Cricetulus griseus: one gene and its partners. The protein of the gene in region 1 purifies or fractionates together with the protein of each later gene. This does not show direct contact. Links are inferred from orthologs where the notes say so. Each region holds a gene or a part of one and is shown in the gene's direction. Other genes may lie near its edges.

The links.
Region 2: the proteins of Tle1 (region 1) and Foxg1 purify together in Homo sapiens (affinity purification with western blotting; 3 studies listed by BioGRID and IntAct, with this or other methods). This does not show direct contact. The link is inferred for Cricetulus griseus from reciprocal best matches to the Homo sapiens genes TLE1 and FOXG1.
Region 3: the proteins of Tle1 (region 1) and Hes1 purify together in Homo sapiens (affinity purification with western blotting; 4 studies listed by BioGRID and IntAct, with this or other methods). This does not show direct contact. The link is inferred for Cricetulus griseus from reciprocal best matches to the Homo sapiens genes TLE1 and HES1.

What each region holds. Positions count from the first base shown.
Region 1 is NC_048595.1:74,292,765-74,303,151, forward strand, and holds the start of Tle1 (transducin-like enhancer protein 1), read left to right. Parts: upstream 1-4,885; 5' UTR 4,886-5,780; coding exon 5,781-5,804; intron 5,805-6,406; coding exon 6,407-6,507; intron 6,508-7,857; coding exon 7,858-7,921; intron 7,922-8,021; coding exon 8,022-8,066; intron 8,067-10,387. UniProt on the Homo sapiens protein: Transcriptional corepressor that binds to a number of transcription factors. Inhibits NF-kappa-B-regulated gene expression. Inhibits the transcriptional activation mediated by FOXA2, and by CTNNB1 and TCF family members in Wnt signaling.
Region 2 is NC_048598.1:152,816,454-152,826,248, reverse strand, and holds Foxg1 (forkhead box protein G1), read left to right. Parts: upstream 1-4,355; coding exon 4,356-5,795; downstream 5,796-9,795. UniProt on the Homo sapiens protein: Transcription repression factor which plays an important role in the establishment of the regional subdivision of the developing brain and in the development of the telencephalon.
Region 3 is NC_048597.1:59,403,645-59,414,226, reverse strand, and holds Hes1 (transcription factor HES-1), read left to right. Parts: upstream 1-4,183; 5' UTR 4,184-4,462; coding exon 4,463-4,570; intron 4,571-4,725; coding exon 4,726-4,821; intron 4,822-5,108; coding exon 5,109-5,196; intron 5,197-5,814; coding exon 5,815-6,365; 3' UTR 6,366-6,736; downstream 6,737-10,582. UniProt on the Homo sapiens protein: Transcriptional repressor of genes that require a bHLH protein for their transcription. May act as a negative regulator of myogenesis by inhibiting the functions of MYOD1 and ASH1.

The sequences.
Region 1 (10,387 bases):
ACACAAAGGAATATCCTATCCCAATGCATTAGAAGTAAACAGGATTAGAAGGAAGCAATATGCAAAAGAACACAGAGTACAATGGCATTTCTATCTCAGCACACTAATATCTACTTATAAACACATGCCCTTTGAGTTGATACTTCTCTTGAAATAACTTAGATAAACAAAAGATTGTCCCTGTCTTACTGTAGTGTTCTAGGGCCACAAACATAAGGCTCTTTAACAGCCTGATTGACTGGCTTCCAACTTCAGAGTGCAGCACCTCTAGTTCTCAAACAGTTTACTGAGTGAATAGTTAATCTCTTACAAGTTTGGGGGCTTTAATGAGGTAAACAAATGACTGGACTGCAAAAGTAAACACTGCAATTCCTCCCAGGCTCATCCCTGTTTCAAGAATTCCTTTCCTCTCCTTTCACTAGCCCCTGTTTTCTCAAGTTTGGTGTCTTATCCTGTACAAGTATTGAAATTGCAAAAGAGACCTTTTTAATTATAAGTACTACAGTAATGAATTCAAGTACACTCATTTATCATAAAGGGCTTTCCCATCTGTCTCTAAAGCATACTTAGAAATGCTGTGTATTTGATAACATTAGCACCAAGCATCTTCCACATGTTAATGTTTAGCGTTTTAGATACTGTTGGTATTTCTCTCCTCCTTACAACTTAGTGGTGGTTCCAGAAACAGCACATTCATCTGTGTATTTAGGAGTGCCTGTGTGGTCTCTTCTAATTTATTTGTTCTTCTGTCCTAAGGGATCCATCACAATCCCCCTAGGCAGGGAGATTAGGGAATGGGGCTGACTGCCTTTGCCCACCATGCCAGATGAGGAAAAACAACTTCCCCAAGTCCCTCAAGTTCTTCTGGCCACTGTACAAATTGTTCTTGAGCATGGAGAGTTTCCAAAAGCCCTAATTAGCAACTCACAGCAAACATTTCTTTGCATTAGCTAATGATCCGGCCACACTTGTAAGCAAACAGAACCAACATATCTAATCAATGCTGAAAACCAACCAAATGACTATTAAACATCTGGATGTAATTTTCCAGTTAGAACAAAATGAAAACATATGCAGGTCCCTTTGATCTTCATCTTAACAAAGAAATTGTTGATAAAAAGCATACTGGTCAGTCAATGTGTAATTTTCATAACGTCTGCTGGTTTCTCTTCAAATGTTCCCCATTTAATTTGGTTGGTTTCCTGCAATCTCTAATTTTACCATATTGTGTGAAACCACAAGAGATTCTTTGGATGTGATTTTATTTGCGGTTTCACTGTTGCATGGATCTGCTACTGATTTCTTTTCCTTCTCTGCCTTCTGTCCTCTACCTCCTCTCTTTAGGAATAGGGTAGGAATGAATGAAATGTAACAAGCACCCCTGAGAAAATTTCTTCTGGACCTTACTTCTAGGTTTAAGAAAACACTCACTTCAAACAAAACCAAACCAACCCAGTCCAAGCATGTTGACTCTTGCCTATAATCCCATTATTTTGGAGGAAGAGGCAGGAGGATTGTTACAAATTCAAGGCCAGCTGCATTTAAGTAGCCAGCTCCAGGCTAGCCAGGTTTACAAACAAAACACCCCCTTCCCCATCTAAAACAAACAAACAAACAAACAAATAAATAGCTCAAAGCAAAACAAAGGCTGAGGATGTGGTTAAGCTGGTAGAATACCTGAGCAAAACCTGTGTGGAGCCACTCACAGAATCCTAGAAGCAAGAGAATTCAAAGTTCAAGGACATCCTCTGCTACACAGCAAGTTTGAGGCCAGTTTGGACTACAAACAAAAAAGAAAACAAAATAGCCACCATCATTTATTTCAAGTCATTATTTATGTGGAATCTAGAAACTGTAATTAGCAAGAGATGAATGAAAATACACCCATGTATGCATCAAGATAAAGTGAACACACTAAACAAGCTCCTCCTCCACAGTGGTGAAATTGGTATGTTTTTCCCCCCAAGACAATTTCCTATGGAGCTGGAATATTTAACATTGTTAACAGATTTCAAATTAAAAGATGAAAGCCAGGCATGGTGGTCCATGTCTGCAGCCAATCCCATCACTTGGGAGGTAGTGGGAAGGAGAGCTACATATTCAAGCATGATCTACATTGTGAGTTCTAAGTTAGCTGTGATACAGAATGAGACGTTGTCTCAAAGAAACAAGCATACACAAAAATGTGATATATCAAAATTACAGATTGAATGAGCAAGACCATATTCATTTAAATAAGTTACAGGTAATTGCACATATATTATTCATTTCAAACATAGGATTAAAGCAACTTGATTGTCTTAAACACCATCATCTGTAATGCAGTTTGATGAGAGTTTTGTAGTATAATTATTACAGCATGCCAATCACAGAGTAAATATGACCTTGAAAATAAAAAAGGACACAGCCCTCTTCTATTCTCAGAAAGATGAACTGAATGGAAAAAGATACCTTCAAAACTCCATCATTTTTATATGTGCAATCAAAGGGCTCCCAATTTTAAAATCGTTATGTACCCCCAACCACATACTGCATTTTAAAGCAATACGAAGGGTTGGCCTGGTTTCAAAGGCTAGTACTAAGAAAGCATTAGTTAAGAGAGAAATTCTAGTTTTTACTCAGAACAAACTGGAAACTCCAGTGAGTGGACAACACTTTCTCTGAACAGTTAGTGGAGAGTAAAGGCAATGAGTTAGCATTGATGTGGAGAGTGGGGCATGTAGCAACACTTTTGCTTCTGACCCTAAACCTAGTACTTTAAAACTTAATTATCACCATTTTCTATTAAGTGAGGGGCCACCTGATAGGTAAAGCTTGGGGACTCCAGGGAGAAAATTTCACAATAGGCACAAGCACAGACTTGTGGTGTCCCAAGCACTTCCTATTCAGCTTGTGAGCTGTTCCTGGGGATAGGCCACTGACTGGGGAGATCAAACCACTGAAGGATGATTTCAAAGAACATGTTAGTTACCCAGGATCACAGGAGTTCAAAAATTCCCGTTTGGCTCACTCACACATCACCAAATCTAACCAAGGAAAGAGGCCTGTCTTTCTTCTTTTTCATTTGGTATGTTATGAAAACGAGTAACGTAAGCCTGTTCCCAATTCTACGAGAAAAGAACAACCTCAAAAGACACTGAATCCGTTTCAGCGTTTACTGTGGTCTGCAGATTTGGCTGATACCGTTCCTTTGCTTTTCATTTACAACCGATATTCGAATTGATGCACTTACAGACCATGATGCACATGCAGCCCTAGCATGCATGTTTAAAATGAACATTCCAAGTACCGCAATGAATTACCCATTTTTTTCTGTATTTCAAAGAAAAAAAATGTCAAAAGCAAATTCACATCTATTTCAGTAAGCTCCTTCCGGTAAGTCTCTATAAGGTAAAATAATGGGGATAGAGGTATTAATGCCCCAAATTTGTTAACTAGGATTCAACAAAAGATAAATGTTTGCCCAAGCAGTCCTTGCCTTTCTTACCAGAGAAGTTACCACCAGGAGGCTAAAACAGCATCATTCACTCGTGGGTCACATTAAAACAAAACAAAACCAACAAACCAACAAAAAATCTACAGGTCCTCGAACTGCTCTTTAAAGAAAGCACACGTGTGGCGATACTGCAGGTGTTTTGCTAGGGAACCAGACAAAAACCGGAGACTCAATGCATTAGTTCCATAGCATGTCTCCTTTATTTAAACCTTGAAATTCCTCTTATGTCAATCCTCATTAAACAAGCTCCTCAAGCTGCTTCATTTACCAACTCTCAGTGGCTCACACGTCTCTGCCTGGAGTACAACCAAAGCAACAGGGGAGGGGGAAGGGCAGGTTTCAGGTCTCGACGCTGGTTTATTCCATTGTCTTTCATTTCCCAGAAATTTGAAACTGACTAGTTACTCTTCCGGCTGTCTGCTAAAACTCTCGGCCACTTCTCTCCTATCCAAACAGTGAAATCATTTGAAGACCAGAACCCAGATTTCTCAGGGGGCGCAAAAGCATCTCGTCTGCGCACGGGACACGAGTGTCTAATACAGCCAGCACCTCAGGGATCTTCCCCGCCAAACCGAGTAAGGTCGACCTTTCACGAAGTGGTGCAAAATCTTTCCAAGCCTGTGCAGCTAGCGGTCCAGTCTTCCCTCGATGGTGTGCGCATGCCAGCTGCAGCGATGCTCATGCACTTCCCATCAAAGGCACAGTTCACTTCTCGTGGGTCCGTGGAAAGGCAGCTCGAGGAAAAATAAGCTCCCGATAAACTTGTGAATGGAACCTCACCTTCAGAGTAACACCCAACAAAGGGAACCAAGACAAGAAAGTGCATTCAGTTCTCGTTACCAAGACGCATGCCCTCCCCCAACAAGAAACCCCACGGTTAGTCTCAGGTACTTTCACTGAGATTTCCTTCAAGGAAAAGAGGAGCGAGCAGCAGGCTTCTGCAAACTTCAGCCCCCTGCTTTCCTCGCCTCCCGCGCGCAGGCCGTTCGAGCTCGCGGGCACTCGCGCGCTCCCCCCAACTTGCCCCACGTTACTTTGATTGACAGCCCGGCTCGCCGCTCTCCTTCCCACCGACCTTCGGAGGCGGCTTGCCAATCTCAGCGTCTGACCGCTCCCCATTGGCTGGCGTGTGCTCCCCGCAGCTCCTCGGGCACCGGAGCACTCAGAGCGCCCAGGACGCGCTGGCGAAGGAGGGGCGCAGGCTGGTGGGCGGAGACACGGGCCAGCAGAGGCCCGGCGAGGTGGGCGGAGCGAAGGCCCACACTGGCTTTGGCCGGCGCGCGTCAGCACCCCACGTTGGCACGGCGCACGCGGTTGGCCGAGCGGTCGCGGCTCCGCCTACGTCCGCGGCGGCCCTGGCGCTTGCCGCCCCCGCCGCTTGTCTCGGGCGGGGCGCTGGTTTGCTAGCGAGTGTGAAACCGCGTGTTAATGTAAGCGGCGCGAGAGGCGCGGGCGGCGGCAGGAGCAGCGGCGGGGACCCCGCGTCCCGGGGCAGGAGCCGGGACTCGCCTTCGACGTGGCCCGCAGCGGAGGGAGGCCGAGCGGCAGCACGCTCTCCGTCGCGTGGACGTTTGCCTCCGGGTTGTGAGAGAACTTTGCGGCGGCTGGAGCTGGTCCGCCCTTCGCCAAAGAGTCGGGGAGGGGAAGGCAAGCGCAGGGAACGCTGGAGCCGCGGAGCGCGCCCGGCGGCCTGATGCCTGGGCTGGAGGAGCGCCGGGCGGCCGAGGGGCTGCACCGCTAGCACTAGCCGCGGACCGGAGGGAGGGCGCGTACTGGCGCGACCCTACCTGCGCATCAACCGTCTTCGTCTCCGCAGCTCCGCGCCGCGCCGGAGACTCTGCAACGCCGTTTGCTGAGCCTCGGGGTGACCCGGAGCTCACCGTCGTGGGAGCGGGTGACCTCCCGACCTGAGACGCCGCGCTTGCCGCTGGCTGTCTACGTGGGTTTTAGCCAAGGCGCCACCTGCGCGGCCGCCGCCGCAGGGAGGAGACTAACAGCCCGTCTGCCTTCGTGAGCCGCCCAAGGGAGCGCGGCCGGGGGCACCGGGTGGAGGACCGCCGTAGGACCCGGCGCCCCCGCTGCGCAGACTCGCAGGCGCGGGGCCGAGCCGCCCGCGATGTGGTCCTGAGGGCGGGGGCCGCACCCGTCGCGCCCTGGCCTTGTATCCTGAGCGCCCCGCGCGCCGGCCTGCTGCGCTGCTTCGCGGTCCCCGGCGGGATTCAAGTTGGAAGTGGCGCGGAGGATAGAGCTATCCCGGAACAGAGCCTCGGCTGCCGCCAGAGCGATGTTCCCGCAGAGCCGGCATCCAGTGAGTCGCCGGCGCGGGTGGGAGCCTGTCCTGCTTGGGAGCCCACGAAGCCCTGCTCCCCCCGCCCCCGCCTGTCCCCTCCTTCTGGATGTCTAGACGCCCGGACCGGGGTTTCGCAGTCACCTCCCGCCTATCCCGAGGCCGGAGTGATCCTGGCTTTGCCACTCGTCTCGCCTGTTTACATATAGTCAGTGCGGCCGGGTCACTCCAGGACTGGGAGCTAAGAGGGAGTTGGCATTTCTTCTTCGGTCCCCGGGGTCTTTTAGCGCACGGTTTGGGGAGGGGTGGCCTGGACGGCGAAGCTCTGGTCCGGCCCTTCTCAGTCTCTCCGGGCCGGGTGACCCCAGGGCGTCGGGCTCGCACAGTCCACATTGGAGGTAGACTTGCTTCTGTAACCCTCTTGAGAAATTAGGGCCCCGGGAAGGTGTGCTTTCTCTCTCTCTAAAGTGAACCGAGGGCTCGAGTTTGGGGCTCCGTTTTCCACCACTTCTAACTTTATTTTTTTGTTTATGTCCCATCCGCTTCTCCCTCCTCTGACTTTTCTGCTTTATGCCCTCACCCTCATATCCCCTTCCTTGGTCTTCCTTGCTGGTCACCTGCAGACGCCGCACCAGGCTGCAGGCCAGCCCTTTAAGTTCACTATCCCGGAATCCCTGGACCGGATTAAAGAGGAATTCCAGTTCCTGCAGGCGCAGTATCACAGGTGCGTGACGACCTGCTCGGGGTGGTGGTCACCTGGGGGCTCTTTCCTCACTCGGCCAGGCTGCTAGGACTGTGTACTTAGTGCTTGTGTCCAGGCGGTGGCGTGTGGAGTCACAGTTAAGCCCTGTCATTCATGTTACCCCCCTTTCTTGGCTCTCCGGGCCGCCCCTCCTGTTGTCTCCTCCTCCTCTTCCCATTGTTTCCCCTTTGCGCATTTGCGGCTGTTCCAGGGAGTCCCTTTTCGTGTATTTTGGAGTTGCATGAGAACCGTCAATATTTGCGCTTCGTTTATTTATTTTGCAACAGGCTGAACTAAAACATGGGTTCAATCAATGGCTCAGCTCTGTAGTGTGCGTTCAGGAAGGCAAAGCCATGTTGAAATCGCTGTTTACCATACTAGAAAATTGGGTTGTCTGAGACAAAGTCCATTAGGAGGGCTAGCTGCGTTTAGCTGTGCCCATCATGGGTGATTAGGTGGTAGAATGTAGATAATGTGTGTGGCCCACACTCTGGGGTGTTTGGATAGGCCAGGGGAATAAAACCACATTCACATTGACCTTGGTTCTGAGTTCTTTATGTAATGATACCATCTTCAACGGATTTCTTAGAGAAAAATCTTGCTAAAGCCTCCATCGATAGTGAATTATCCAGAAAGGCAACTTATTTTGCTCCTATGTGGTTTTGATTCATTGGAACTAAGCAATAACTTAGAAGAAGACTTTTACTTTTCTCATGCTGTAAAAAAAAAGGACCAACCTAAGGCTTGGTGGCTTGGGTGTAAATTTTCATATTTTGTCAGTGACTTTTTGATTTTTGAGCTGTTAGCTGCTTTAAGGTGTTATCTCCAGAACTTGAGGCATACTTGCACACACTGTTTACTGAACAGGGCCAGAACTTCAACCCACTTTGCTGCTGTAGCTGCTTGTCATATTTTGGCAGGAATTCAAAACGAAAGGTTTTGAAAGGCACTAGTTGTTATAGGAGTAACTTTACCAGTAAAGTGTCTCAAAACTGAAGATGCCTGTGCTAGGGAAGGGAGGTTGTGCAAAGGACATACTTTGGTGCAGTCAGGAGAAGTAGGATGGGGACAGATGCGCAATCTTTTTTAATAGGTTTTTCCTTCTTGCACCCTCAACATGGTATGTGCCCCAAGAACAAATAGAACAGTAGTTGGTGGATATTCGTTGTTGTTCACTTTCTTTCCCAGCATTGAATACAAAGACAGCTTTAAGGATGTTTTCCTAGCTTATGACTTTTCCAAATTGTTTTTACTTGAAGTGCAAATATGTGAGGCAGATGTTAAAACAAGTGACATAATGTTTACCTTAAGCTGCCTGTTTTGTTTTTGTAGTCTTAAATTGGAGTGTGAGAAATTGGCAAGTGAAAAGACCGAAATGCAGAGGCACTACGTGATGGTAGGTATCAAAGATAGGACCTTTTTCTCTTCACATAGCGGTGTGTGTTCTTACTACAAAAAATGTGAGTTAACGACTTGCTTGGTTCTTCTCTTTACAGTATTATGAAATGTCATATGGATTAAACATTGAAATGCATAAACAGGTAAGCTTTAGCTAAATGTTAAGCTGAGAAAGCAGTTTATAGGATTTTGCCATGCTGGTTTTGTCCTCAGTCACTGCATGATAGGGTGGGTGTTTGTGGGCTATTTTTCTGCCCTTCTTCGATTTGGCATTAACATGCTGCAGCAAGGATTGCTTCTTCAGGGTTACAAGACTAGCTGAGGTGCTTTGGAAATGTTTACAGGCAGAGAGGAACTGAGCTCAGGTTACTTTTCCACTTGGATAGATTTAAAGATCTCAGATATATTGTGGTTACTGGAGTTTAGGACAGTTCATATTCTTATATGTTTGGGTATAAACTGTGGAAAGTGAGGGGGAGGGGGTACTTGAGAGTTTCTTTAATCAGACTTAATAAAGCATATGACTTTAGAGTGCTCTTATGCTTTGGTGTTCTGGAAAGTGACACTCAAGATTAGTGGCTTATTAGCAAACATGTTTTTGAAAATTTTCTCGGTTGATGTCGATTTGGAGGAGAAAAAAAAAGTCCTTTTATGGCCAACGAGCGTGTTGGAAGGTGCTTCAGTCCTAGTGGTTTTAAAAGCATGAAAAGATTAGTGACTGGAAAGCTTTAGCAATGACTTGAGTTTGCAAGTTCCCATAAAATTCACACTTATGGCTACTATAATGGTGTATAAAAAGAGTATTGAGCTGGAACAAGACACTAAGGACCTCATAAGAGAAGAAAAGCTAAATGATTGCTCAGCCCAAAGGACCCTCAATTGAGTAGTCATTGTCTGCCAAAGAAAGCATTAATGGCAGGGTGCAAGTGTTCTGAAGATATGCTGACATTCACTTTATCAAAATGCTGGTACAATAAGTCTTTTAGAAATCGATTGCCTCTTAAAAAATTATCATCAGATGAAGTTGCACAGTTGGACACGTTTCAAAGTGCAACAATACAATTCTTACTTGATGTATATGTGCTATTTCATCTCAGACCCTTGTTTCATTAAATTAAAGAGCATGGCTGACCGGCTGGGGCATGGTGGAGAAATTGATTAGTTCAGCCTTCAGATCTTCCTTATATTCAAAGATTTTCATTAAGCAAATCCATTTCGGAGTTGAATTCTGCTTTTGTAACTCTGCACGCTTTGATTTTTAATTCATCATAGATTTCATAATTATGTACATTAGATCTGTTCCCAGATACATGTTTTCAGAGTGCTAAGTCAGAGCCTTTCAGTAACTAAGGTAATGAGCCTTTCATAAAATGTTTGTTTTACTGATTTGCAGAGTTCTTTATGTGGTGCTGATTTCCTGTATTTCTGCTGCTGGTGTGCTTTGTTGAGGTTTTTAAGTCAATGATAGTGAGCTGGTATATCTCTGGTCTATGGCCATTTAAATTAAGAATGTAAATAAACTTGGTGTAGGAATTCTAATTTGCATCTTTTAAGTTACTCTGTAGGGCACTTTTTCTTTTCTATTATGTATTCTGGGCACTGAGCTTTTTCTTAAACATGTAAACTGGAAGGATTTAATGACCCACAGACTCTTGTACAAGGGAACAGCAAGTAGCACACAAGTTAGGTGCTGGTGTTGGTCTTATTGAGGAAACAGAAAGAGGTGTGTTAATTCTGGGTTCTGGTGACTTTATTTACCATAGAGAGAAGGAGTAAGAGGCCAGAAGGGTCAGACACCCCTGGTGTGAACAAAGTTTTCTCTTGGGTTCTGTACTGTTGTGCCTTGGGCATTTGTGGGTATATACTATCTCTTTGTATGACAATATGCATTAATAATACACTGTGTGTAATTTGGCCAGTAATTTGAAACAAATGGGAAGCTAAGAGACACCATGTTTTTCATAGAGTATTAAGCCCTCTGAAATTTAGTTCATATTGCAAATGCTGACAGACCCTTCACTAGAATGGAGTGCAAACTCATGCTGTAATTCAGTCTAAAGTGGTCTTACATTTGAAAAACAGCCTTCTGAGTGTCACATGTTAATAGTAAGTTTTGAAGAGTCATTTGGTGCTGTTGGTGATCATAATTCTTATTAAAACTAGTGATGTCTGGCCCCCAGGGTGTAGCCAGGCTCAAATTGATGCTTTTTGCTGCCTGATCACCAGCATGGCCTAAGTGCTCATTATATTGTAGAGAGGGCCTTTGGAGCTCTCATTAGATTTGACAGGAATTCTCTCTAGGGGGAAACTGGGCATTAGCGAAGACTCCTGACAGGCTGAAATTATTCCTGCTTTATGGCTTATAACCAAATGCTAGCAAGGCATCATCAGGGGACACAAAAAATTGTCATTTCTGACAACATCTTTGTTACTGAAAAAAAAAAAAAAAACGGTAGCAATGAAA
Region 2 (9,795 bases), on another chromosome or scaffold:
CCCACCCTTGTTAGTAGAAGGTAAGGGAGGCCCAAAGCAAAGAATTGTCTTCGAGGAAGACAATGTAACATCCACCTTCAGAAATAAAATGAAAATGTGCTCCTCCCTGTTCAGAAGTACACTGTGGAGTCTTGAAGGTTAATTAAAAATCTAGAAGGAATTATCTAATTCATTTCCAAAGAATCTTCCATTGGAATTGCTTACTATACAATTCTTGTCCTCTTTGTGAGTGGGTGGGTGGGTGGTAGATGAGTACTGAGGCCTACAAGTTCACCACTATGTAAACCAACAAATCACATTTACTCTGATACACTGTTATGTTCACTACTTCACTAACCTACACATTTGCAGATTTATAAGTGTGAGGTTAAATTGATTAGGAGGAAAACTTACACTGATTGGGGAATTGGTTTCCGGTCTGAGACCACTGGCTGCCTGCCCTCTGTCTTCTGAAGGTAATCACAGAGGCTGAAAACAGGGCTTTATGTGCTCAGGGAAGAGGCCCGTGGTGGACGTGGGCAGGACTTCAAATCCAATTTGCACCCAAATTGGTTGGTAGGATATACAAAGCCCCATCCAGAGACTTTCAACTTCACAATACTTTGTCCAGAAGTCCCTTCCCCCTCTGTTTCAGCTAGCAGCTGATCTAAAAAGAAACCATTGCTGATACAAATATAAGCCGCTGAGTAAACAGTGCATGTTTTGTTGAAGAAGGCTGATATACATATGTTTTTGTTTGTGTTCTGATATATATTCCCATCTCATCATAAAGAGCAATTAAAATTATTTAAAGGGATTCAAACTTGCTTTTTTGGAAACTGCAAATAACCTTTGCATCAGGAAACTAGTTTTAATATTATACCAAACTATATTCTGTGTTTTTACTATTAAACATCCTGTTTGGAGAGACTTGCATTCATGCAACCTTAAAAATCCCACGCACATCTTTAATTCGCATGCAAAAACATTTTTCAGGCCACTATAAGCCTTGACATATAAAATCAGATTACTGAAGCTCTCACTTTCCAAACCCCAGTTTTGCTCTTTGAAAGTAAACAGAAGAAAACCTTACTTCTCCTGCTAATTTCTTCTACAGGGTAGCAAAACAATACACATTTAGCTTTAACCTAAGCACTACCTCAAAACATTAAAAATTCATCAGTCAGTGCTGGTGTTGTATTCAAGGAACACTCCTCCAGTTCACTGCTGAGCTCAGATTGGAATAAAATGTCCAATGTTAACAAACAATACCCACGTTTGGCACTTTGTGTATTAAATTGATCAAACAGATTTTAGAAGACACAATGCACAATTTGTACAGACCTGATTGAGTTAATATAATATCAGCAAATTTTACATCGAAATGATTCTGTTTCTTTTCTTTGTGTTTAAAACCAGCACAGATTACAAATTTTAATGATCTGAAAATGTTTGGTATACAAAATCATGCTTATTTCAGTATTAGCAAAAACACAAGAAATTTTTCAACACAAACACCCAGCTGTGTCTATTTTAAAAGCAGTTCAATGACAGCTTGCACTTATGAGCATGCAATCAGCTAATTTCGCTTTTTTTTTCTTCTGTGTTAATCAACACTTTCCTTCCTGCATATCAGAGTACAAATAGTATAGTTACTCCACATCAGTAAATGTTTACGTAACCTGTCCTTTCCCAAGAATCCGGTTACACCGAATCATTTCACGCTAGACCGACTACGAAAACGTACCGGGCCGTCCACCTCAGAGGGAGCCCCGTGAGCCATTATAAGCGTGGTGAGAAGGGGGGTTGGGGGGATGGGGAGGAGTAGGTGGAGGAGTGGAGGGGAGAGGAAAGGAGGGAGGGAGAAGGGGTGGCTTAGTGAAAAGAGGAGAAGGAAGAGGGGAGGAGGAAGGAAAGCAAGCCAGTTGAGGAACCACTGAGAAGAATGGGCCTGAGGAGGAGAAAGAGCGGAAGGGGAAGTGAACCGGACAACTGGGGCTCACAGATCTCTCTAGCTGTGGCAAACCCAAAGCTTAGAAATCAACCTTTGGCGACCGATGTTGCTTGCAAAGTAGATTGCTAGAACCCTGGAATTTTTCTTCATGCATAGCTTGTTTTAATGTAAGCGGATTTGTAGAAATAGATCCAACCAGTGGAAGGATATTTGGGGACAAATATTCGAAGATCCCTCACAACATTCCTAATAGATATATTAAAATCGTTAACTATTTATAATTGGGTATTATTCTCTTTAATGTTTCTCTCCCCTACCCTTCCCTCTGCCCGCGCCCCATTTCAAAGTTGGGGGTGGGAACACTGGAATAGCTCCCTGTTAGTTTAAGGATTCATCTATTACATTTTTGTGCTAGATTTAAATGTCATACATAGGCCCTGCTTTTTCTCCCTTCATTTAAAAAAGAAATATCAAGTCTGCCAGATCATTTAGCTAAGAGCTCATCACAGTGAAAAATGCTTGCATGGCTAGAGTATTTTACCTTAAAGAGGAGGAGAAAGGTACTCGTGACCTATGCATCTCCACCTCCCTCTTCTCTTGGGCTACGTCCTCCTTACAAGGTGGCGTGCTTCGAGCCCGTGGGGGCTAGAGACGCATCTGATCCGTGTGCTGCAATCCCTGGGAAATGATGGGCCTTAGCCCTGGCCCTGTGCGCGAGATTCGAGTAAAGCTTTTGAATCACAAGCTAGCCACTCATTTCTACCTCCCCACCAAACCATCCCTAAACCCTCGAAGCCGGGACTGTCAAATTCACGTTCCCAGGCTCCCGAGAGAATTACAGCAGCATCCAGGAATGGCAAGAACTGATTTCAATATACTGATGTTTCAAGATTGAGGTTTTAAAGAAATAAAGCATTTGTGAGTGTGGGTGGGCAAACATAGGATTTTTTTTTTTTTTTAAGAAGGAAGGAGACATCCACTCTTCAATGTCAAGCAAAATGAAAATATTTCCAGGGTGACCGATTGCAGCTACCAGCTTCCAGTACTGCCTAGAAGCTGAAGAGGAGGTGGAGTGCCCGAGGAGAAAACGCGACCCGGTCACCGCGCGGGAGCGCGAATCTTGGAGTGAAGGGAGACATACGGAGCGCGCACGTGTTACCTGCTTTATTTCGGGACTGTTTGGTACTGTGTTCGCACTGGGCAGCTCTCCGCCCGGAAGGCCGCCCCCGCACGCCGCCCTCAGCGCCTCTTCGCGGCAGAGCTCGCCGAGGGCCTCAGAAACCCGTAAGTACCGGCCTGGCCGTGGCCGCCCCCGCCCCATATACCAGGCCAGGCTCCCCCGAAACCCGGTTATCCCGGGCCGCTGGCCCATCGGCTCCGAGGGCGCTTCTCGGACTGCTGCGTTCGCTAAGGTTCACGCCCTTTCCCGCACCCTCACAGCTCGCCCCTCCACCGCGCCCCCGCTCTTAGAGACAAAATTGGATACAAACTTTAATCAATAAGGATAAATATTGACGCGCAAAGGAAAATAATCCCATACAGGGAGGAAGCCGCAGGCGAGCGGCCGGGGTCCGGGGCGCACGCCCCGCGCTAATCCTGGCCGGGTGGGCGAGCTCCCGCCGATCCCCGCGCGGCTCCGGGCCCGGGCCCGCCACCCGGAGGGGGCAGGCGCAGGGGGCGGGTCCGGGGCGGGGCGGGGATGGGCGGGCCCTGGGTTGCCGATTGGTCGACGGCCAGCTAGACGCTCCCGCACGCCGCCGGCTGTGATTGGTGCAGCGGTAGGAAAGGTTAAACCAAAAATTTTTTTACAGCCCTAGTGTGCGCCTGTAGCTCGGAAAATTAATTGTGGCTATAGCCGCCTCGATCGCTGTCTCCCAGCCTCGCCGCGGCCGCTCCGGGACGCGCCCGCCCGCCGCCCGGCTCTCCCCCCCTTCGGGCTGCCGCTGCTGCTGCTGTGACTGCTGCGGCGCGAGGAGGAGGAGGAGGCAGCGGGGGAGGGGGAGGCCGGGCGCGGAACGGAGCGGGGCGCTGCACCCCGGGCGGCGGGTTGCTTCTGCCTCTTGCTTTTTTTATTTCTCCTCTCTCTCTCTCTCTCTCTCTCTCTCTCTCTCTCTCTCTCCTCTCTCTCTCTCTCTCTCTCCCTCCCTCCCTCTAGCTCTCCCTCTCGCTCTCTCTCGCTCTCTCTCTTTCGCTCTCTCTAATTTTTGAGGGGTGGTTGCAGCTTTTGCTACATGCCTTGCCAGCGCCGGAGCCTGCGGTCCAACTGCGCTGCTGCCGGAGCGCTCAGTGCCGCCGCGCCGCCGCCGCCGCCGCCACCACCCCCGCTCCCCCCGCGCCCCGCTTCGAACCCACCGGCCGCCCGCCGCGCCGCTACACGGCTACCGCGCCGCCGCCGCCGCCGCCGCCCCCCGACGCCTGGGTGATGCTGGACATGGGAGATAGGAAAGAGGTGAAAATGATTCCCAAGTCCTCGTTCAGCATCAACAGCCTGGTCCCTGAGGCCGTCCAGAACGACAACCACCACGCGAGCCATGGTCACCACAACAGCCACCACCCCCAGCATCACCATCATCATCATCACCACCACCACCCGCCGCCGCCCGCGCCCCAGCCGCCACCGCCGCCCCAGCAGCAGCAGCAGCCGCCCCCGACCCCGCAGCCCCCGCAGGCACGAGGCGCCCCGGCAGCCGACGACGACAAGGGCCCGCAGCCGCTTCTGCTCCCTCCGCCCGCAACCCTGGACGGGGCCAAGGCCGACGCGCTGGGAGCCAAAGGCGAGCCGGGCGGTGGGCCCGCAGAGCTGGCGCCCGTCGGGCCGGACGAGAAGGAGAAGGGCGCCGGTGCCGGGGGGGAGGAGAAGAAGGGGGCGGGCGAGGGCGGCAAGGACGGGGAGGGGGGCAAGGAGGGCGACAAGAAGAACGGCAAGTACGAGAAGCCGCCGTTCAGCTACAACGCGCTCATCATGATGGCCATCAGGCAGAGCCCGGAGAAACGCCTGACGCTTAACGGCATCTATGAGTTCATCATGAAGAACTTCCCCTACTACCGCGAGAACAAGCAGGGCTGGCAGAACTCCATCCGCCACAACCTGTCCCTCAACAAGTGCTTCGTGAAGGTGCCGCGCCACTACGACGACCCGGGCAAGGGCAACTACTGGATGCTGGACCCGTCGAGCGACGACGTGTTCATCGGCGGCACGACAGGCAAGCTGCGGCGCCGCTCCACCACGTCTCGGGCCAAGCTGGCCTTCAAGCGCGGGGCGCGCCTCACCTCCACTGGCCTCACCTTCATGGACCGCGCCGGCTCCCTCTACTGGCCCATGTCGCCCTTCTTGTCCCTGCACCACCCCCGCGCCAGCAGCACTTTGAGTTACAACGGCACCACGTCGGCCTACCCCAGCCACCCCATGCCCTACAGCTCCGTGTTGACTCAGAACTCGCTGGGCAACAACCACTCCTTCTCGACCGCCAACGGGCTGAGTGTGGACCGGCTGGTCAACGGGGAGATCCCGTACGCCACACACCACCTCACGGCCGCTGCGCTCGCCGCCTCGGTGCCCTGCGGCCTGTCCGTGCCCTGCTCCGGGACCTACTCCCTCAACCCCTGCTCCGTCAACCTGCTCGCGGGCCAGACAAGTTACTTTTTCCCCCACGTCCCACACCCGTCAATGACTTCGCAGACCAGCACGTCCATGAGCGCCAGGGCCGCGTCTTCCTCTACGTCGCCGCAGGCCCCCTCGACCCTGCCCTGTGAGTCCTTAAGACCCTCTTTGCCAAGTTTTACGACAGGACTGTCCGGGGGACTGTCTGATTATTTCACACATCAAAATCAGGGGTCTTCTTCCAACCCTTTAATACATTAACATCCCGGGGACCAGACTGTAAGTGAACGTTTTACACACATTTGCATTGTAAATGATAATTAAAAAATAAGTCCAGGTATTTTTTATTAAGCCCTCCCCCCCATTTCTGTACGTTTGTTCAGTCTTTAGGGTTGTTTCCTATTCTAACAAGGTGTGGAGTGTCAGCGAGGTGCAATGTGGGAGAATACATTGTAGAATATAAGGTTTGGACGTCAAATTATAGTAGAATGTGTATCTAAATAGTGACTGCTTTGCCATTTCATTCAAACCTGACAAGCCTATCTCAAAAGGCTGCCAGATTTCCATGTGTGCAGTATTATAAGTTATCATGGAGCTATCTGGTGGACGCAGGCCTTGAGAACAACCTAAATTATGGAGAGAGTTTAAAAATGTTAAACTGTAATTTGTATTTAAGAATTTGTAGTAAAGGTGCCCAAGAAATTATATTGGCCATTTATTGTTTTGTCCTTTTCTTTAAAGAACTGTTTTTACCTTTTGTTTACTTTTAGACCAAAGATTGGATTCTAGCAAATGCACTTGGTATACTAAGTATTAAAACAAACAAACAAACAAACAAACAAACAAACAAACGAAAAAGGAAAGTTGTTTAGTTGGCAACACTGCCCATTCAATTGAATCGGAAGGGGACAAAATTAAGGATTGCCTTCAGTTTGTGTTGTGTATATTTCGATGTATGTGGTCACTAACAGGTCACTTTTATTTTTTCTAAATGTAGTGAAATGTTAATACCTATTGTACTTATAGGTAAACTTTGCAAATATGTAACCCGTGTTGCGCAAATGACGCATCAATTTGAGTGATTGTTAATGTTGTCTTAAAATTTCTTGATTGTGATACTGTGGTCATATGCCCGTGTTTGTCACTTACAAAAATGTTTACTATGAACACACAGAAATAAAAAAATAGGCTAAATTCATATATATCTTGATATTTTTGTCTCTTTTATTAAGTAGAGCTAATGTGCAAATTACCATTTGATTTATAGGGAATTCGAAGGCTTTTTCAGCCAAGTTGGAGTTTAAACTGCTCCTTTATTTTCAAATGAGAATAGTATCATTTTTCCCTTTGTGAACAAATTTTACCAGGAGCAGGTTACTTAATAAATACTAGCTTTAAATGAAGTATAGGCTTTTCAGCTAATATCTTTAATTTTGTAGAAATACAGAAAAAAGAAGATATTCAATTTTATGTGCATAGCTGTTTATTCTGTGCTTTATTTTAAATTCAGTTGACAGAATGCCATATATATATATGTATATATATATATATACATATATATATATATATATATAATTTCCGGTATCGTGTTAATAGAAGTTGGCACATTATAAATAAATATATGTATATAGTTAGAAGTGAATAATGAACACGCACATATATATACATATACATATATGCATATGTATATATGCATATATATCCCTTCAGTTCAGGTACAATTTGCGCTATGAATGCTGCAAACATTTTTGTTTAAATATTTGTATTTATACTTTCTAAGTCAGCATTTATTTTTGTGGCTGTTTACCCACAATGAACGAATTCTAATAAAGATGTGCTGAGTTGCAATGTAGAGCTTGCTGAAGTGATCACCTGTTACAATGACTCACAGAAGGATGTTGATATTTAAATTTTTAATTACAACTTAAAATTCTAGCTATTCAAAGTAAAATACCCCTATCTTCCCTATCCATTTTTACAACATAGAGGTATCTGTTTGGTTCAATTTTCAATATATTTGTATAATTTAATTTAGAGATGTGTTTCTTTTGCTTGAATCATTTTTGCTTTGAGTGCAATATGCATATATACCAGATATATTGCATGTGTTCATATATGCATATATATCAGACAAAATGAAAACTTTTTCAAACTGTTTCAGACAGCCCACTTGCTATAAACCCTAAAAAATAATTGGAAAACCTGAGTTAGAGTTTTAGTAATTAATTGGATCCTGTGGTGATTCTGTGGAAGACAAGTTGTTCATTTGTTACATTTGTATAGTCTGAAATGTGCTCTGCAGTAATGCAATAAGCTGGCCACTTCTTACAATGGGACCAGTGAAAAATAATATGTCCCTAAGATGTTATCAGCCAGCACTTAGAGGTTGCTCAGGAAAGGGGGCGGGTGGCTAGTGGAGAAGCAGGTTGGCTAACATTGATTTGAAATTCACAAGAGTTGATGTTGGAAAATGGGGGTGACTGGATCTTGAATGAAGAGGGGAAGAAAGGGCGTGAGGGGAGGAGAGGGGGAGAGAGAGATTCTAGGAAATTTTGAAAAGCTGGAATCAAATTTAAAAGAGAGAGAGATAGGCAAAATTTTGTTGTCTTAATGTGAAACTAGATTTACCTTAGATCTAAGTTTCTTGAAGTCTACCAGTTGTTTAAAGTGAATCACAAAAAAGTACCACAAATTACTATTAAAAAAAAGAAAAGAAAAGAAAAAGAAAAAGAAAAAGAAAGAAAGGCCAGTGTGGGCTTAGCAAAGAAAACCTTTATTGCAGTTGAAAGGCAAACTAGCTCAGGGAAAGTCCTGCATTTAAGCTTGGGGGGTGGGGGGATGATGAGTTATTGCTTGCTTCTGCTATGGGTTTTCTCTATAGAATTAGTACTTACTACCACAGAAGAAATACAGTATTGCAAAAGTTGAAAGGAAAGCCAAATTCACATAATAAAGCGACAAGATGTAGCTATTGAAGAAAGAATTTTATGTATAATTTTCCTCTGGCCAAAGTAAATTAACTATCTGTACTTACTTGTGACCTTATGAAGTGTTTATTTGGAAGACAGAGAAATAGAATTTCTATGGCCACCTTTTGTACTTCAAGTCCACAGTGAAGTTGCCTTTTTGTATTCATGCGTATTAATAGGTATTGAAGTAGAGGTGTGCTTTGGCACATGCTCATGTCTGATTTAAATATGTAGTGGATGTGATTGGTAGATTGTTTATTAGGCTTCCTAGACATGAAAAATACCTATATATTTATAGAAAGAGAAGTTGGTACCAGCTTTCTGAAGCCCAATGTGTGAATAATTCTTATATCATTTTCCTGATCTAGTCTACCCTCCCTCTTGATGCCCTCTTCTAAAAATAACAATCTGGTATGGCATTGGTACATTTAATTTTGCTTCAGACTGGTAGTTACAATGTTTTCCTATGTGTTGTCACCAACTTTTGGGTGTTACAGTCAGTTCATTCCAGACAAACACTTATAAAACTTTTGGAAGATTATTTTCTTTCAACTTTATATTTGAAATGAAATGGAGGCTGTCCTTTTTGAAAACTTGGAAAAGAAAATGATCACAATTAAAAATGGAGACTCCAAGTTGAAATAGTGCAGGTTTATATTACAGTATTTTACTTTAGTTGACATAACTGAAAGTTAACCCAATTGTTAATACACAAACACAGAGGAATGATACAAAATACAGCAGTGAAGGAGTTTCTTCATCTAGTTGCAAAAATCAAGTAAATCTGAAACTGTTCAACGCAAGTGTCCTTGTACTCAAAGTATTCTTGCAGAGGCTTATGTGACTGGAATCACAGCAAGGACAGAGAGGAAAAAAAAAATCTGTCTTGAGTGTATTGATTATAATATGCATTCAGGTTGGTACATATTTTACCCCAATAGATGGGTAAATCAAATCTGTTAGCATTCTATATAAAAGTATGACTTTTTACAACATGTATTTTCTACTTTCTCACTGAGAATTTGCATGCATTGAAATAATTTCAGTTTTGATAAATTAATTTTGTGAACAGCTAATGTAGTTGGTTGTTTTTAAGGCTGAAAGCCTGTTGGCGAATTAGGTTAACAAAAGGTGAAAGTGATGATCACTAGAGGTTTCAGTGCTGGCTGAGACCGGGCTGCTGAGATTGTGTAACTGCCCTAGAGGGTGGGGTTCCCGTAGGTTCCTACTACAGCAGATAACCTGCCCCAGCACCATTCCAGTTTCCACCAGACAGATGGAAATCTCCAAAC
Region 3 (10,582 bases), on another chromosome or scaffold:
TGTCCAAATGGGAGGGTGGACAGCACCAATTTGACATTTGACCAGGATAAGAGTCTGAAAACTCATCTATGAGTTCATTTGCAAAGCAACCTTGTTCTTGACACTTAGCAGAGCCAAGAGTCAGGGCTGTCATGGCCTTTGAATCTTATTGGGAGGGGGCAGCACACAGGCACAAATTTATGCATAATTTTTGGTCACATGGGCCTTCTGTCCCTCAATCTAAAAGTGTGTATGTGAAGTCACTTGCTTATTCTTCCAGTGTAAATACTCCTAAAGTGACAATAAATTAATTGTGGTTAACTCTTTGATCCATGGGGCTGCTGGAGGCTACACTGGGAGACCCTAACTGACTTGTTCATCCTCCTCCACGCACCTGCCAGGAACTAAAGCCTGAGAGGCAATAGAAACAGACAAAAAATATTAGAAGGGACAACTGGCATGCCAGGTTAAGAACAGACAGCAGCCAAAGTCATAACAGACCTTATTGCAGGAGGCTGGGAACCTGGTTAGGGTTAAAATGCTCCCCTGGACAGCTGTCCCCTGGAGATTCTGGGACAATGTATTTGTGGTTTCATTGTTGAGGTTTTTTTGTTTTGTTTTGTTTTGTTTTTTTAAGTCAAAGACTTAGTAGGAGCTTTAGTTTGCTGGGGCACAGCAGAAAGAAGGACAACTCCACAGGTTCATCACCTTTCACCATGAGGATTTCAAAAACACAGGAAAATCCCACTGCTTAAAAGGTGACCGGCAATTTTCTGTCATCACCACTTTCCCATCTGTTTAGAATATGAAAGAAGGGAGAGTCCTACCCCATTGGTCCAGGTTGCAGAGCAACAAAGAAGGCATTGTTTATCATTTCTTCAGAACAAGATAGGGCACAGCCCACCCTCCAGCATGGTAATATACACGCGCGCGCACGCGCGCGCGCGCGCGCATACACACACACACACACACACACACACACACACACACACACACACCACCCCCGTCCCCAAAGGGGCAAGAGAACAAGTGTGAATAAAGCAAGTCTGCCCCCTGAGGTAAAGGTTTGTTGCAAACTGGGGGAGGGCTGTCCCTGGAGGCAGGAAAGAAGCTTAGAAAGTAAAAAGGTCAGAACCTATTGAGATGGCAGAACATTACACCTAGGGCAAACCAACTTCCTTTTCACTCAGGTCAGCGGCCTGTGTGGTTACTGACCAGGTGACCTGGACCAAGAAGGTAGCATGTCAGCCTACATGTGTCACTTAGGAGCATTCTCTACTAGTCTGATCTCATGTGGTCGATCTCCAAGTCCTGCAGTCCACCCTTGACACTTGTCAGGGTCATCTTCCTAAGAACCCTGGTGTCTTTCCCCCCACTATGAACCTATTGTGGCGTTCGGAGTCCTTTTTTATAAAGCAGGATGTCTAAGGTCTTGTGGTGGCCTCAAATTTCTTCCTTGCCCTTCCACACATCCTGAATAAAGACCTCAGGTTCCCGAGATTTGCGCCGGGCACTCCCTTCCCCCGAGTCCATGACTCAGCATATTTCCAATGCCTCAGCCATATTTTTCTGAGGTACAAAACACAGATCCTCTCCACCGGTAACTTTACCATAACAGCTTAACATATGACTAATTCTCCTGGGTTCTCCACGTCATTTTACTCCTGTCTACTGCTCCACTTTAGGGCTCTCCCAGGGGAATCTTCTGGGAAATCTACAGATGGCAGCCATACCCACACAGGTATCTGGCAGCGGGCTAAGGCCACTGTCTCGTTCCACACATGATGCAGGTGTAGCTTTGTACTGCAAAGACACTCCTCCGATGACCCCCGCCCCTCAGAACACCATCCAAGCCCCCCAAAAGAAAGGAAAAAACAGAATCCCCAGGCATTGGTCAGAAAGTCTGATTCTGTGCGCCTCCGCCGTTGGTGGACTACTCCAAGGGAGCGGCCACTGTATCTCTCATCATGGTAATCCCCGGGTTTAACAGTGTCTGCCGTTCCATCATAAAAGAGAGAGGGGCTTGCCCAAGGTCATGCGAACCACTTCATCTCATCCCGGACCAGATCTGGAGAAATCATTCACATTATCTCGGTGGGAGCGGGGAAAGGGAGGGACGAGAGTGTGCGCCTTGTGTGCCAGGCCTCCCGGACGCGGGAAAAGCTGGGGGCGGGGATCAAACAACGTGCTGGGATTGCTAGCCGCCCGGAGTTCAGGGCGGCGGGAAATGTGAAGGGGTTGGGGACACCCGGGTGGAGGCAAGGGGCGGACGACCGGGGGCAGGCAAAGAGGGAGGCAGGCAGCCGCCGGGGGCAGCGCGCGCCGCCCGCGCCGTGCGGCAAATCCCCCAGGGAGGCCGCCGCCAGAGCCCTGGCGCTCCCGGCCCGGCGCCCGCCACGTGGCACCCGGCGGCGGCGGCGGCGACTCCTCCGGCGCGCGGCCCGGCCAGCCGGCAGCACGCAGTCGCCCGTCTCTTCCCCGCCGTCCGCCGCGGCCTCCTGGATGCAGCGAGGGACCCGGGAAGGGGCGGGCGGGCGGGCGAGCGGGCAGGCGCGCGAAGCCTCTGTAACCACAGCCGCTGAGCGGAGGCAGGAGGCTGACCCTGCCGCTTCCTAAGTGCGGTCAGGCATCTCGTGACCGCGGCGGCCGCCCGGGTCCCTCCCCCGCCGCAGTCGCCGGGGAGGTTTCGGCTGCGCTCAAACCCCAAGATCGGAGTCCGGGCTGGGTTGCTTGGGATGGAGTTGGGGGTGGGGAGCACGAATTCCCTGCTCGCCACCCCTGGGCGAGCGCTGCCCCACCCGGAAGGGCTGACCTTGGCGGGAGGGGTGGGGGGGAGGCTAACGCGGGGCCTGATCCCGACCCTCCACCCCCACGGATTCCTGACTCGCCCAGGCCGGAGGAGGGGGCCCCGGACACACACGGACACACACACACACATACACACACACACACACACACACACACACACCCCACACGCAGCGCGCGCCAATGAGCCCAGGCCAGGCGCAGGGGGCGGGGTTTTCCCAGGCTCGAGCACAGCAGCTGCTATTTACCTTCTTGGCTTCTCCCGGGGACTAGAGCCGTCCCCCGCTCCCGGCCGCCCGCCGCCGGCCCGCCTCCCTGCCCCCGGGGCGCGCGCACACACACACTCACACACGCACGCACACACACATCCTCTGGGTCCGGCCGCAGCCGCGGCGGCAATAAAACATCCTGGCACGTGCTCCGACTCCAGGCGCGCCCTCGCCGGCCGGCTGATGTCAAACTGCAGCTCGGCTGGTGGAGCTCTTAAAGGGCTCGCACGCCGGGCGCAGAGGCCGCCTATGGCCGCCCGCAGGGCGAGGAGGGGAGAGGCCGGCTCCCTGCCTGCCGCCTCTCGGTACTGCCAACCGAGAGCCTGCGGGGGAGAAAGGTATAGAGTGGCGAAGGAGCGCGCGCCCTTGTGGCATTGCTATCAAAGCCCCTCTTGTTCATTTTTCATTTGAAATTCCATTTCCTTTCTGCCCAGTAGGAAATTATTCTGATTGTTTCCTGGAGAAGCGTGAGGTCCAATGCCCCATTCCCAGGAGAGGAATGAGAAGCAAGCTGGGGGGCGGGGAAGGGGCAGACATCCAAAAGCCATCTTGCTCCAAAAAACCTGCCTGTGAAGGCACTTCTCTTTTGGGGTGGTGGTGGTGAGGGAGTGATTAGTTTGGGGGTTTGGGTATTGCTTTCCCCCCCTGCATGAGCAGTTTTCACTCCCCTGAGCATACAGAATTAGAGAATTCACTTTGGACGTTAGAGTAACACACCCTTGCGCGAGTTCCCTGGTTTTTAAATCACTAAATTATGTCTTTTCCTATATTTTCTCAAAATGTTTTTCAAATGAACTTACTATACAAAGTAGTTATATTGCACGTGGCAAAGACAATAAAAATCCAAAGACCTGGCCACAAAAGAAATAGACTATACCAAAGCCATGGCGGAAAAGTCCTTTCTAAAGCAAAGCCCAGAGGAGTCAGCAAAGGGTTAAAATCCTTTTGATTGACGTTGTAGCCTCCGGTGCCCCGGGCTCAGGCGCGCGCCATTGGCCGCCAGACCTTGTGCCTGGCGGCCAATGGGGGGGCGCAGTCCACGAGCGGTGCCGCGTGTCTCTTCCTCCCATTGGCTGAAAGTTACTGTGGGAAAGAAAGTTTGGGAAGTTTCACACGAGCCGTTCGCGTGCAGTCCCAGATATATATAGAGGCCGCCAGGGCCTGCGGATCACACAGGATCTGGAGCTGGTGCTGATAACAGCGGAATCCCCCGTCTACCTCTCTCCTTGGTCCTGGAATAGCGCTACCGATCACTAAGTAGCCCTAAGACATACTAAACCCTCAGCTGCTCAGTAGTTTTTCTTATGAAAGTCAAGTAAAAGGGGCATAAGCAAAAAAATATTTTTTGCGTGAAGGATTCCAAAAATAAAATTCTCTGGGGATTGAGAAGAAAGAAAAAGAGAAAGAAAATGCCAGCTGATATAATGGAGAAAAATTCCTCGTCCCCGGTGGCTGCTACCCCAGCCAGTGTCAACACGACACCGGACAAACCAAAGACCGCCTCTGAGCACAGAAAGGTAAGACAGTACCTGCGTCTCTCTGAAGCTATTACGTAGGCTATGCGCGGAGGGGCTCCTCGTACTTTTCCCTCTTAAAACCTCGGGGTGAAATGGCAGATCCCATGGGAGCTCAACCCTCACCCCCGGTTTTTTTTTTTTTTTTTCCTTTGCAGTCATCAAAGCCTATCATGGAGAAGAGACGAAGGGCAAGAATAAACGAAAGTCTGAGCCAGCTGAAAACACTGATTTTGGATGCACTTAAGAAAGATGTAAGTGAGCAATGCATATTATTATTATTATTATTATTATTATTATTATTATTATCATTATTATTACGAATGCAGTGGTATTTCTCAGGCACAAAGAACCTGACTCTTCCCCTGCTGTGTGAGGATCTTACCCCGCCAGCACTGCCTTCCCCTAGGCGGGAGGGAGGTTCGGGCCTCTCCCACAGGGCCCTGGGATGTGGGACATGCGGGCGGGGTTGGGGACCTTCAGAACAAGAGGCAGTTGACAAGGGGGGGTCTCACTTTCTTCCCTTGTTTCCTCTGCGTAGAGCTCCCGGCATTCCAAGCTGGAGAAGGCAGACATTCTGGAGATGACAGTGAAGCACCTCCGGAACCTGCAGCGGGCGCAGATGACCGGTGAGGACCGCGCGTGCGTCCCCTCTCTGCGGGTGTCCCTTTCGGCCCGCGGTGATTTCTTCCAGACTTCCGCCCGCGGTTGTGAGAGGCATTCAGCTACATTTTACTGCCTTGGCTCACTCCGCGTTCCCACGGTCTGGGTCTTATTTATAGCCACAACTCCCAAGTTGTTACTGCTCCGGAAAGGGAGGGAGAGGTTGTAGCCGAGAGGGTGGTGGGCGGCTTGGCTGTGGTGGAAGCTGGTGAGGGCGAAAGGACTTAGGACTGAGGCGGTTTGGGGCTGGATAGAAGCTAGGGGTCACTGGTTTAGCACCCGTCCAACCGCTGCCGCAGGAGGGGAAGTGGGACTTGGAAAGCGCCTTGGGTGGCATTGCCCAAGGTCACGTAGCGCGCGGGGCTAGAGGTGGCAGATCTGGAGCTGAGATCGGTTTAAATGGAGGGAGTGTCCTGGCTTATGTCGCCAACCTAGAGAGAAGGAGCTGGCTGTTCTTAGCCTACCCCACCCTCCCAACCCCAGATGGTTCCGGAGGCTCTCAGCGGGGACCTCCCAGGGCGGGAGGCAGTGGCCCCGGAGCCAGGGCTGTTTGGTGACCTGTCCTTTCTCCTTCTGGCCTGCAGCCGCGCTCAGCACAGACCCGAGTGTGTTGGGGAAGTACCGCGCCGGCTTCAGCGAGTGCATGAACGAGGTGACCCGCTTCCTGTCCACGTGTGAGGGCGTTAACACCGAGGTGCGCACTCGGCTGCTGGGCCACCTGGCCAACTGCATGACCCAGATCAACGCCATGACCTACCCCGGGCAGCCGCACCCCGCCTTGCAGGCGCCGCCGCCGCCCCCGTCAGGACCCGGCGGCCCCCAGCACGCGCCGTTCGCGCCGCCGCCACCGCTCGTGCCCATCCCCGGGGGCGCGGCGCCCCCTCCCGGCAGCGCACCCTGCAAGTTGGGCAGCCAGGCTGGAGAGGCTGCCAAGGTTTTTGGCGGTTTCCAGGTGGTGCCGGCTCCTGACGGCCAATTTGCCTTCCTCATCCCCAACGGGGCCTTCGCCCACAGCGGCCCAGTCATCCCAGTCTACACCAGCAACAGCGGGACCTCGGTTGGTCCTAACGCAGTGTCTCCTTCCAGCGGTTCCTCCCTCACTGCGGACTCCATGTGGAGGCCGTGGCGGAACTGAGGGGCTCAGGCCATTGCTCACCCTAAATTTCCTAGCCCACCTCTCTCTTCCGACGGACACTAAAAACGAACTTGGATATTAGGAGAGAAGACTTTTATAATTTGGTGGCTACTTTGTTGCTTTTTTTAATTTCTAAAAAGTTACTTTTTGTAGAGAGCTGTATTAAGTGACTGACCATGCACTGCATTTGTATATATTTTATATGTTCATATTGGATTGCGCCTTTGTATTATAAAAGTTGAGATGACATTTCGTTTTTTACACGAGATTTCTTTTTTATGTGATGCCAAAGATGTTTGAAAATGCTCTTAAAATATCTTCCTTTGGGGAAGTTTATTGGAGAAAGTATAATAAAAGAGTGAAGGCTTTTATGTCTTAGAACTGGTTATTTCAAAAATTGTAAAAGGAGAGTCTCTTGAAATTCATATTCCATGTAGTCTGGGAACCCAGAAATAGAATTTAAAATATAATATTAACGTTTCAAACAGAAACCACCAAACCTTTTTCACCAACACTCCACAAACTAAAAAGACCTAATTTTTGAAAAATTCATTTGATGGGGCTAAAGGACTGCAAAAAGAAAGAAAAGAAAAGAAAAAGCGTTTAAAGATAAACAGTCCCTATTTTGTGCCTTCTGAGAGGCAGTAAGGGCGACTCCGACTTAACTCCCTGGAGTAGCCACAAACCTAAGCCTCCTCAAATGTTGGGATCCATCCTTAGGTGCAGCATCGAATCCCCTAGCACCCGCGACACAAAGCTTTAACTGCCTCTCTGCACCCTCTTCAAGCAAGCTGAAAAGGTCAACAGATTCCTTCTGCCATGGGACAGCTAGTTAGACTCCCAAGTGGAGCCCGGGCCAGATGATTAACAGCAGACATGTGTTTCTGATAAGTTTCTGTGCTTGACTTTAATGGAGAAAGCATGTGGGGACCGCGCTGGCAGGCACACAGGCCGTTTTCCCCTTTTAATACAAACAGCAAGCGACCCCTTCGCTTGGTCATGCCCCATTTCCAGGCAAGATGTGGGCTCCAGATAGAAGCAAAAGGGTTGTCTCGGGTTTCAGCTCACACAACCCTCCTTAACAAGTCCTAACTCAAAGCGGACAGCTTTAAACTGTGCCAGGATCTGCAGGGAATTTCTTCCAAATCCCATCACAAAGGCTTGTCAGATTTTGTCAGATTTGGCCAGGTGTTTGACTGCATCCAGGTGTTGGGGAAATGAAAACCACGAGCCCTGCGAGACCAGACACATCAGCCGCGCTGTGGGTCTGGCCGGCGCGCCCTTCCTCCCCACCGCCGGCCAGTCCTCCTCCCAGCCCCCGCCCCGCCCGCCTGCCCGCCCTTCTCTCACCCCCCTCCCCCTTTCCCTACAGCGGCTTCTGGGAGAAGGATGAGGCGGGAGAGATCAATCTTTGAAGCTTTCCTAACAAAGATAAAGCCAACGATTTTCTGTCTTGTTTCAAAAGCCTTACCTCTCCCCCGCCTGGCTCCAGCCTTTCCCACAGGCCAATGTGGAGTGCGGCTCTACCACAGGGGTGATCTAGCAGACAGCAGCCGGTCCTTTCTAATATCTTCAGCCTCGACCCCTAGAGAGAGAGGTTTAAAAGATCGTTTTGAAAATTTGGCTCCTATTTGCCTTATTTTGTGTACAAGAAATGTGTCCAACACACCCTTTACCAAAGAAACACACACATGTCTCTTATCATTCCATTTTTCCTCGTTTTCTCTTTCTTTTAAATACAAATATAGTAACAATTGCTCCATTAAGACACCCATCCCATACTCAAATACTAAAATCTGGTAAGCCCGGTCCTCCGTCCCCCAGCAAGAGTTCTTAGCTTCTTTGGCAAAAATAATCCAGACATCAGGATCTCAATTTTATAAAAGTAATTCCTTTACATTGTTCTTTACAGGGCGGGGGGAGGGATGGGGATGGACAACTAAAAAGAAAATTTCAATTTCTTCAAGCATCTTTATTAATGTCACCAAAAGTATACACAGCATCACCCGAAGAAGCCAAGAAAGTGAGAGAAACATAAACCACCGTTGTTCTTTTGAAAAGAGCCCCTCTCCCCCAATTTGGGTTTACATTATTAGATGAAGTCTTTACAGTACAATACGGGATGGAAGAAAGACTACGTCCCAGTTGGGGACATTCATGTTCTTGAAAGCCACTGAACTCACGGCATCCCCTTGGATAAGTCATTTCCCTTTTCTAGGACAGGTCCAAGTTCATAAACAGAACAGATTTATTTCTTAGACACTGCTGCCTCCAGCATCCCTGCTGTTTCTTAAATAAGTAGCTGGGGGAGAGGTGAAGCGCCGGAGTTTATTCTGGCCTCCCTGCAGGTCCTCTGGGTCTGGCCTAATTATACTGCCTCGGGGCACACCCAGCTGCCTTACCCCTCTACCAGCTCCTGCAGAGCTGATCTCTCCGGCGATAATGTACATCTCTAAACTCTGTCCTTGAGGTCAAGGATTTAGGAGGCCTCTCCCTGGAGACCCTCGGGGCCTCGGCTCTCAGAAGGTCTCTAGCATCATCCTGAGAAGTGAGAGCCTGAGCCTGGTTTGAGCGACTGAAACTCACCCCGTCCTCGGGTCTCATCCCTCCCCCACCCCCACGTGTTTCTGCAGTGGGGACCCAGAGGTTTAACTGGACCCCCTCATCGTCACGGGGAACCTGTCATTAAAGTCAATTAACTTTCCCCACACCCTTTGGCCGGTAACAACCCGCTGCTAGCTTCCTCCGGGCTTCTAAGTGCAACCAGATGGGCGGGCGGAGTGCCCCCGCCGCGCGCCCGCCCGCCCCGGGTGGCTCGGGGTTCCTGGGAGGCCTCGGGGACCGCGACCGGGCTGGAGCGGCCCAGGGCGGCCACACCGGGCCAGCCCCGGCGGCCCTGCGGCCAAGGTGGCTCGCTCAGCAGGCCCGGCTGCTTTCTGGCAGGAAATGAATAGCTCCCAGATGAGCTCAGGCAACCTGAGAGGTCGTGAGAACGGCGCGAACCCCCGCCTGTGCAGCCGGCAGCCTGCCAGGCCGCGGGGGAGGGCGGCGGCGGCGGAGGCCCGGCGGGCGGCGGCGGGGGCGGCGAGGGGCGGGAGCCGCTGACACACGAGCCCGCGCCCGCTCCCGCTGACAGGCGGGCCGCCGCCCCCGCTTCCCCGCCCCAGGCCAGCGCCGCCCAGGCAGCAGGCCCCAGCCGCAGAGCCGCAGAGCCGCGGAGCCGCGGCCGCCCGGCCCGCCGAGGGAGGCCTGGGGGTGGGGCGGCCTGCCAGTGTTTTTCCAGTTCCCCCGGTAGCTCCGGGCCGCGTTTAGAAGCCGGAGAACTGGGCCGAGGCCATGATCGGGGCACCGGAGGCCGGCAGAGCCCTGCCAGGAGTCAGGCCAGCCGGGCAGGAGAGGGCAGGAGGGGGCCACCTCGGACCCCCAAATGCCTTGCACCGGACAGGGACGCTGGGCGTCCTAAGAAAGGGAGTTTCGGTTCTAAGCACCTTGAGTTCCCAATAGGTTCCCCGCAGCCTGCAGCTGACAACCCTGGTGGCGACACAGCGCTGTTGAGCCACCGAGACAGACCCGCTAGTGACTCATCCCACGCGTGATGTGTTAGGTTCCAGGACTGAAGTTTAAACTGAGGGTGCCCAGACAGATGAGTTCTTACCGGGGAGGAAACTAAGCAAGTTTTTCCCTTGAAGCAGGGAGGTGAAAAGCTCAACACAAGGAGAAGTCAGGCGCTGGGTGTCCTGCTGTTAACTGGTGAGGGCTCGACTGGAGCTGGAGACTGCTGCCGCCTGCCTGGAGGGCAGGGTTTGATTGTCCTAATTTCTCTAATAAAACGATTTAACTTGAAGAAGGAGAAGAGCCGGGCAGTGGTGGTGCACGCCTTTAGTCCCAGAACTCGGGAGGCAGAGGCAGGAGGATCTCTGTTAGTTCAAGACCAGCCTGATCCAGGACAGCCTCCAAACCACAGAGAAATCCTGTCTCGAAAACAAAAAACAAAAAAACAAAAAAAAAAAAAAAAAAAAAAACAAAAAAAAAAAAAAAGGAAGGAGCCCAGTGTGGTGGCATTCTCCAACAATCCCTATGAGGCACTTGGGAGGTGGAGGAGAAGGGAGGGCTCAAGGCCATTTTCAGTTATAGTAGTCTAGGCTAGCCTGGGCTACCTGATGCCCTGTCTGAAAACACCAAAAATAGAGTTAGGATTAGGTTGGTTAAAGAAAACA